Linked DNA regions of Notamacropus eugenii. The protein of the gene in region 2 purifies or fractionates together with the protein of the main gene of each other region. This does not show direct contact. Links are inferred from orthologs where the notes say so. Each region holds a gene or a part of one and is shown on either strand. Other genes may lie near its edges.

Region 1 (3,752 bases), on a different chromosome or scaffold from region 2:
ACAGCTGTAAGATGGTATGTGTATTAGTCCTTCATTACCGAAGAAGACCATGCCATCAGAGAAATGATGACATGACTCGCACTTGACTTTGTTTTGAGTGAGGGAGGGCTGTGCAGCTCACCAGCCTCACTTCTCCTCCAGAGCCATCTGAATCCAGTGACCGGATATTCATCAGGATGATTGGAGATGACCCAGGATGAGGCAATTGGGGTTAAGTGACTTGCCCAAGGTCACACAAGTAGTGAGTGTCAAGTGTCTGAGGTGAGATTTGAACTCAGGTCCCCCTGACTCCTGCACTGGTGCTCTATCCACTGCACCACCTAGCTGCCTTTGTAAGATGGTAACTATTTCCTAGAATGTGGCTTTGGTAGATAGCACAATCACTCCCAGCTGAAAACATTCTCTCAGAGGTGATGGGACTACAAACCGGGCCCACCTGATACCCATTGCCTTCTCAGCCTTATCTGGTGCTGTCAAAGACAGTTGACCCACAAGGAAGTGTAAGAGAACAAGCCAAAGCCCAAACTTCCAATCCCTGAGATAAAAGGGCCTGCAGAAGTCCCCATCTGGCTACAAGGATGCTTCTTGGGACACTCAGCTGCCACAAGTCCTGCTTGAGCTCACAAAGAACTAAGGCTCTCTGCTTGGAGAAGGAACAGGATGAAGAAAGAAAAGTGGACAGAGAGACAGGTTAAAGAAATGATTGTTTGAAACAGACAAAAAAAAGTAACAGCAACCAGTCTCTAGCTGACAATATAATTCATGTAAAACAAAGGCAGCCATGACATCCTCACTCTCTTTCAAGAGCACCCCCCCCACACACACACACACACACAATAAATTCTTTCCCAAGTTCCTTTATATCAGTAACACACTAATTACTGTTTTGTTCAGGATTATTTTCTAATACCTCTAAATTTGTGAAAGGTTAAAAATCTGAAGAAACCAAGCATTGTCTTTACTATTTTATTTTGGCCTAAAAGACTTAAAAAGAAGGGAGACAGGCAAAGGATGTCAAGGAGGAATCTTAGAGACCAGCAGCTGGTTGCCATGCCCATCCCCCCCAAGGGAGGTGAAAGAAATGATCAAATGTTTCAGCCACCAAGAAATTAGAAGTCTGAAGGGCTCAGGATGTCATTGAGATATCTGTGGCTGAAACAAAGAGGACACACTGGAACAAACTTCTCATTTCTCCCCAGGCAGCTCACCAGGGAAATAACATCTCCATCCCAGAAGGTCTTGGTCCTGGGGCTTGGAGAGTGGGACCCACAAACTCAGCCTCCATTTAAGGGAGGGGTTCAGCGTGCTAACCCTAAATGTGCTGTTCCACTAGCCTTCCCCCAGGTCTTATTGCACCGCTCCCCTAGAGTGTAAACTCCTTAAGGGGAGGAATTTTTTTTTTTTACTTCAATCTGCACTCCCAGCACTGAGCAAAGTGCCTGGAATACAGGAGGCATTTAATAAACATTTATTGACAAGTCCCACAGGAACTCTAGACCTCTAAGACAGTAACAGAAATTTCTTCTAAATTAAAAATATTTTCCTCAACGCTTAGACCACCAGTTCTCCCCAAACTGTTCATCACAAACATCAAACCATGATTTCTCGTGGCTGAGTGCACTAGAAGCAACTGCTACTGAGTCTTCAGTTTTCAGTGATTTTTGTGCCCCACTCAAAGCATTAAACACAAAAGCCAACTGCTGAACTAGGCTAAAAGATCCAATCTGTGGGGCCCACTTATTCAGAATTTTGGCCCCCAACTTAGACCAGTCTCGCAAGTCCTCTGAAGTCTCACTGTGGTGTGGAAATGACTGGGCCTGGAGTCATGAAGACTTGAGGTTCAAATCCAGCCTCAGTTACTTCCTCAACGTGTGAACCTGGACAAGTTTGTTCTGACTCCGGGAGTCTGAATCAGACAACTGCAAAGTGCTTAGCACGGTGCCTGGCTACAGTGACTGCTACAGAAATGTTAGCTCTTCTTTGGTAGGCACAGAGGGCAGGCCCAATGCCAGGATTGAGGGTCTTTCACAGGAGAAGCTAGATGCCAATTCAGGGGCAGGAGAGTGTGGGATTTGGCCACAGCAACCACCATAGAAAGGTCTTAGTAATGCCTTGGTTTTTTTTAATAACTTCATAAAAATATCCATTCTTGATGTCAAGTTACTGACAAACTAGATTTTTAAATCTGACTCTGATGCCTATAGATTAAAATGACACATTCAGGCCACTTTCAATCTTGGAAGGAGTTGCTAAAAAGCTTCGGCTTGAGTTTTCAAATGAACTTTTTCTTTTTACCTAGTAATACTGATCTGTTCCAGAAAAGTTGGCTACAAACCACAATTTGTGATAAAGGAATCACTTTCTCAAAGGGAAATGAATTCTGTAAGGCAGTCTTTAAATGGTCCAAGAATTCTTAATTTTTCACATCAAGATACCAATAATCATTGGTGCTACTTAGAAAGACAGAAGCTATCATCAATGAGTTCCCAGTCCTCAGTTTTAATTTTTACTTCTAAAAATCTGGAGCACAATTAGGAAGGACTCCTCCTAGAAGCAGAAGTTAGAGCAGAAGCTCCTGCCTCTGAGAGCAGAATGCATGCACAGACACACACATGGACGCACAAGCGGACCCACACATGCACGGGCAGACAACACGCCCACAGGAATGCATACAGGCACGCACAGGCACGCATAGGCACATACAACACTGGTATAATCTGAAATGTTAACAATTCTCTAACAACTTGTTTTCATCAAATCAGCCTTTTTACCATCAAATAATAAAGCTGTTAGGGGACTCAATTCCCTGCTGTGAAGGTATTTGTGACAGAAACTCGGCCACCATTAAAACACCTGAAAACGACCAAATTTTCTATTTGTGCACTAAGTGAACAAAGACACATTTCTAAGGCTACTAGCTGATCACTCAATTTAAAAAAAAGATGAAATAATGAAGAAGCATACTACTGCAAACATGTCCCTGAGTTCTTTGAGAAACTCCCTCCTGGGCGAGCTGACATTAGGGTGCCTGTCTCTCGCTCTGTCTCTCTTGGGCTGGGGCCAGGTGCAGAGTTCAGTTTATTCCGGCACTTTTCAACAGGAGCCCAGGTCCCTTCGAATAAGGAAAAATAATGCCATCAAATGTGCTAGAGGAAGCTGTCAGAGTACCGGTGAGCACAATTACTACATTCTACCCAAACACGCAGCAATGGGGAGGGGAAAACCTCTGAAAAGCAGAATCAAAAAACTGAATCTCCCGCCTACTCTAAACACAATCTGTACTTCCTACAACAGAGGAGACGACAATATCCTTTCAAGCATTTGTGTGATATTTGAATAATTTCATAAATGGCTCGATGGAATTCTTCAAATTCCAAATCTTGACATAGTGGGTTTGACAATGAGAATTCCCCTCCAGTGCTCCCAGCTCACATCAGGCCCTGGTGGAAAGGGGACAGTGAATGAGTGCAGTCACGACGCTGGTGATGCTGACAGCTGACGTTTACCTAGGCCCCAGTTTACTCAGTGCCATGCACTAGGCTAAGCACTTTACAATACCTCACTGGATTCTCACAACAGCCCTGGGAGGTAGGTACCAGTGTGAGCCCCATTTTACAGATAAACAAACAAGCAAACAGGGTGAAGTGACTTGCCCAAAGCCATACAGCTAGGGAGTGTCTGAGGCCACATGGGCCTCCTAGCCCAGTGCTCTATGCACTCTGGCACCCCCTAGTGCCTGTACAGGACACAAG
Region 2 (3,752 bases):
AAAATGGTAGTCATGGGGAGGCTGAAGAAGAATGTTGGGGTTGTAAGGCATGGGATGGGGAAAGATGGGTATGATGAGATGAAGACATTTCTGAGTTAATATGGACATGAACCACTTATTTTGTGATAGCCTTATCAAGGTCACAGTTGACATGAAGGAGTAAGTTGGTCTTGGGAATTGAGCACATGATTTTAAGGTGCTTGAGGAAGCATTAACCAATATGTATTGAAGTCTTCAGTTTGAGGGCTGGAGTTGTGGAGAGAAAGATTATGTAAGATTATGAAAGATTATTTAGTCAGGCAACTCATTAGGGAAGAAGGGAGATTGTGAGGGGTAGGGTTTGGAAGGATCCAGATTGGGGGATAAATTTGGAAAGCTTGTACCTTCAAGAAGAGGTTGCTGAATGATGATAGTAGAGGGAGAGTCTGAAAGTGGCAATGAAAAGCCAGAAGTCTTCCAGTTCCCTCTCAGAGCAGGTTTTGAGGTATGAATTGTCGTACCTTGGGGTACAACCAGGTGGGAGCATGTGTGTTCCAGTCGCCTAGTAAGAGAGTAGAAGGGGTGGTGGAGAAAGACTCACTGAGGAAGGAGGGAGCATATCCTGGGAGCAAATTAAATAACACTCTTGATTGAGGTACACATTTGGAGGGGTAGTAAATAGAGCCTGGACCTGGACTCAGGAAGACCTGAGTTTAAAACCTGGCCTCAGATAACTTTACTTATGTGACCGTGGGCAAGTTACTTAACCTGTTTGTCTCAATTTCCCCAAGTGTAGAGTGGTGATAATACTATCTCTCAGGGTTGTTTTGAGGATCAAACGAGATGATATTAATAAAAATGTTTGGCACAGTGCCTGGGACATAGATGGTACTGTATAAATGCTTACCTAACTCTTCCTTATTCCCATATTTCATCACTTGAAAGTAAGGTAGTACAGATTCTTAAGACTTTGCCCACATTATGTGAATGTCTTCATATTGAAATTTTATGTGATACTTTGAATTGGAAGATATCTTAAATAGATAACCTAATTTCTGTCTTTCATTTCTGTAATAAGCGGAGAGGCAGCATGGTGTAAGTCCTGCTTCCTAAGCTGCTATATAGAAGTATCTGACCGACACTGGTAGAGGGATAGTGCCTGTTTGCTAATATGCAGGAATCATGGATTAATATCAGTAAGAAACTTGTCTCATATGTGTATATATATAATATATATACATATATACATATGTATGTCAGTGAATAGAAGAATTTCCAGAAATTTTTTTGTCATATCTTGTTTTGTACATAGTTGTTTGCATATTGTCTCCCCCATTAGACTGTGAGCTTCTTGAGAACGGGGTCTATTTTTTTTTTGCCCTTTTTTTATCTACCCCCAGCGCTTTGCATAGTGCTTGGCACATAGTAGGTATTTAATAAATGCTAGGGGAAGTACAGCTACTTTTAGATAGATGTGAGTCAAAATGATAAATTTACAAGAATCACAGAAAACTCATTCATTTAAGGTACTGATGAATGTGGTTAGCTGAAGTGTATTATCCCTATTTTTTTTAATGAAGATACTGAGATGTAAGGAGGTTATACACTTACTAGTACTATCTAGCTTGTAGGAAAAAATGATAGTTTTGGTTTGAAATTTCCTGAAGAATATTTGTTGCCTTGTAATTATCAAAATTGTCTTTCTAAATAACAAAAGTTTAGCCTAAGGATGTGTCTGTCTAGGCAAATGTCTGTATTTGGTTGCAGATTTTCTCTTATCTCTAAATCCCATCCCAGTACACTGATACCAGTTTTGCCAGGACGTCTATTTTAACAATTCTGGTTAGCATGAAAGGGTTAAAGTGGCTTCTATACAGTAACATATGAAAACAGTTAAGCTGTTTGGAACTGTTTACTTGCATAAATGGATGTTAGTCAGCAGAGGCAGTATACCAGGATACCAGATTTCTTTGTGGCTTTTAGTGGAAAATGTTAAAAGCACGCTCATTTTTCAGCTAAAGAATTTTTTAGTTTGATCTGAATTAGTCACAGAACTGGCATGGGCATTCTAATTGTGAAGACTTTACAAATGTGGCCCTTTTTGGGGGGTGGCTAGAGGAAGTTACATCCTGAGCAGTGGCTCAGTTCTGTGGTAAGTGTAACATGTGAGCATTACTAGGCATTTTATCCTGCGGGTCTGCAGTCTGCTCTTCAGACTAGGCTCAGTCGGAATGCTGCTGTGGGGCTGATTTTTCAGGTCCTGTGGTTGATTTTTCGTCTTTCTTTTTAATGATCAGTTCATTCAAGGGGTTTGTGGCTTTTTCAAAATCATCTACTGAACACAGAAACATCTGAAATCTACTAAAAAGGCTAGCAGTGGAAGGAAGCTGGATTGGCACCGACCCAGATGTTTGAATAAAAGAGTAGTCGGAAAGAAGATGCACGGAGGATTTTTTTTCCCTTGAAGGAGGACTGTATAATGGAAGCTGGATTCATGCAGAGATCAAAGGAAAACACTCAAGTGATAAACTACTTTGTAGAGGAAAAGGTCGAAGCAGTGATTTGAACAGTTATTTGAGCTTCGTAGCTTCTTTAAACCGTTAAGATTTTATTTTGCTAATACCCTTCTTGTTGTGGGTTATTTGCTAGAACAGCCACAGCCAACTGCTGCTTGATGGAGGAGGAATGAGGGCTCTGCATTGCCTGTGCTATTGATGAAAATACAGCTCTCTGCATGCTTGCCGTTTGGGAAATCTCGATTGAACAGGCCATATTCTAACACCAAGAATTTTCTTATTGTCCCTCGTGACCTGACTCATTGCCTGTAAATGTATTGCAGCTTTGCTGTTGATGCAGAAGAGTGGGTTTATTTTTTAAACGTAGAAAGAATTGTCAACCTCTGAGCTCCATGTTCTGAATTTGTGCTGAGCACAGATGAATTTTTTCTGGAGTATATCAGCATTAAGACTAGTGAAACTGAAGAAATGAAGGTTTGACTCTGAGATGGAGATAGAATAGTGAAATTTTAAAATTTGTTTTGATCAAAGAAAGCCAGCTATACGTGACCAAATTGACCTTGCCCGAATTGAGGATAACTGGGATAGACTCTGTCACTGCAGTTGCTTCTCCTTTCAGTCAATACAAAGTGGTGTCATGTCACCCCAAACAATGACCTCTCTGTGCTAACAAAATTCTGCTGTGAAGACAAGGGATACTAAAAAGGCATAATTTTTTTAAAGGATAATTTTTCAAATGAATTTAGATTATACCTGAGATTAATTTACAAAGGTTTTGTTTTGGGTTTTACTAATAATTTATGTAGTAAAGAACTAGTGACTTTGAACAGAATAATAGGACTTGGCAATTTTAGAGATGTTTCAAAACTGTAGGGGGTCAGTCACCACTGGAAAAACTGAAGTTTAAAATTAACTTTTAAATGCCAGCTGTAGTACACAGAATGTTCGCAAGTGTGTACAGAAGAGAAAGACATACTCCCTGTGCTATATCAACTGTAACTTTTGCTATATAGTTTGAAATTTAGTGTTTTAAACGAATGAGTCGGGTGTGTATTGTTGTTTTGGAGGAGATAGAAGATGAATCTCCAACATTTGTTTCCAAATTGCCTCAGGAAAATAAATTCCTTCCATCTCCAGCTTCTGGAAATGCATTGGTAAGATGTGATAGTTTCTTAAGTATTTTTGTATTCTGGTGTAATATGAGTGATTTTTTTTTTTTTTTGCTTTTTAATAATAGACTTTTTAGTCATTTATGTT

The links. The genes of interacting proteins can lie anywhere in the genome.
Region 1: the proteins of ANKRD28 (region 2) and PPP6R3 purify together in Homo sapiens (co-immunoprecipitation; 3 studies listed by BioGRID and IntAct, with this or other methods). This does not show direct contact. The link is inferred for Notamacropus eugenii from reciprocal best matches to the Homo sapiens genes ANKRD28 and PPP6R3.

The regions. Positions count from the first base shown.
Region 1 is NC_092873.1:20,819,432-20,823,183, reverse strand, and holds the start of PPP6R3 (serine/threonine-protein phosphatase 6 regulatory subunit 3), read right to left. Parts: upstream 2,984-3,752; 5' UTR 2,977-2,983; coding exon 2,965-2,976; intron 1-2,964.
Region 2 is NC_092874.1:38,160,762-38,164,513, forward strand, and holds the start of ANKRD28 (serine/threonine-protein phosphatase 6 regulatory ankyrin repeat subunit A), read left to right. Parts: upstream 1-1,207; 5' UTR 1,208-3,532; coding exon 3,533-3,649; intron 3,650-3,752. UniProt on the Homo sapiens protein: Regulatory subunit of protein phosphatase 6 (PP6) that may be involved in the recognition of phosphoprotein substrates. Involved in the PP6-mediated dephosphorylation of NFKBIE opposing its degradation in response to TNF-alpha.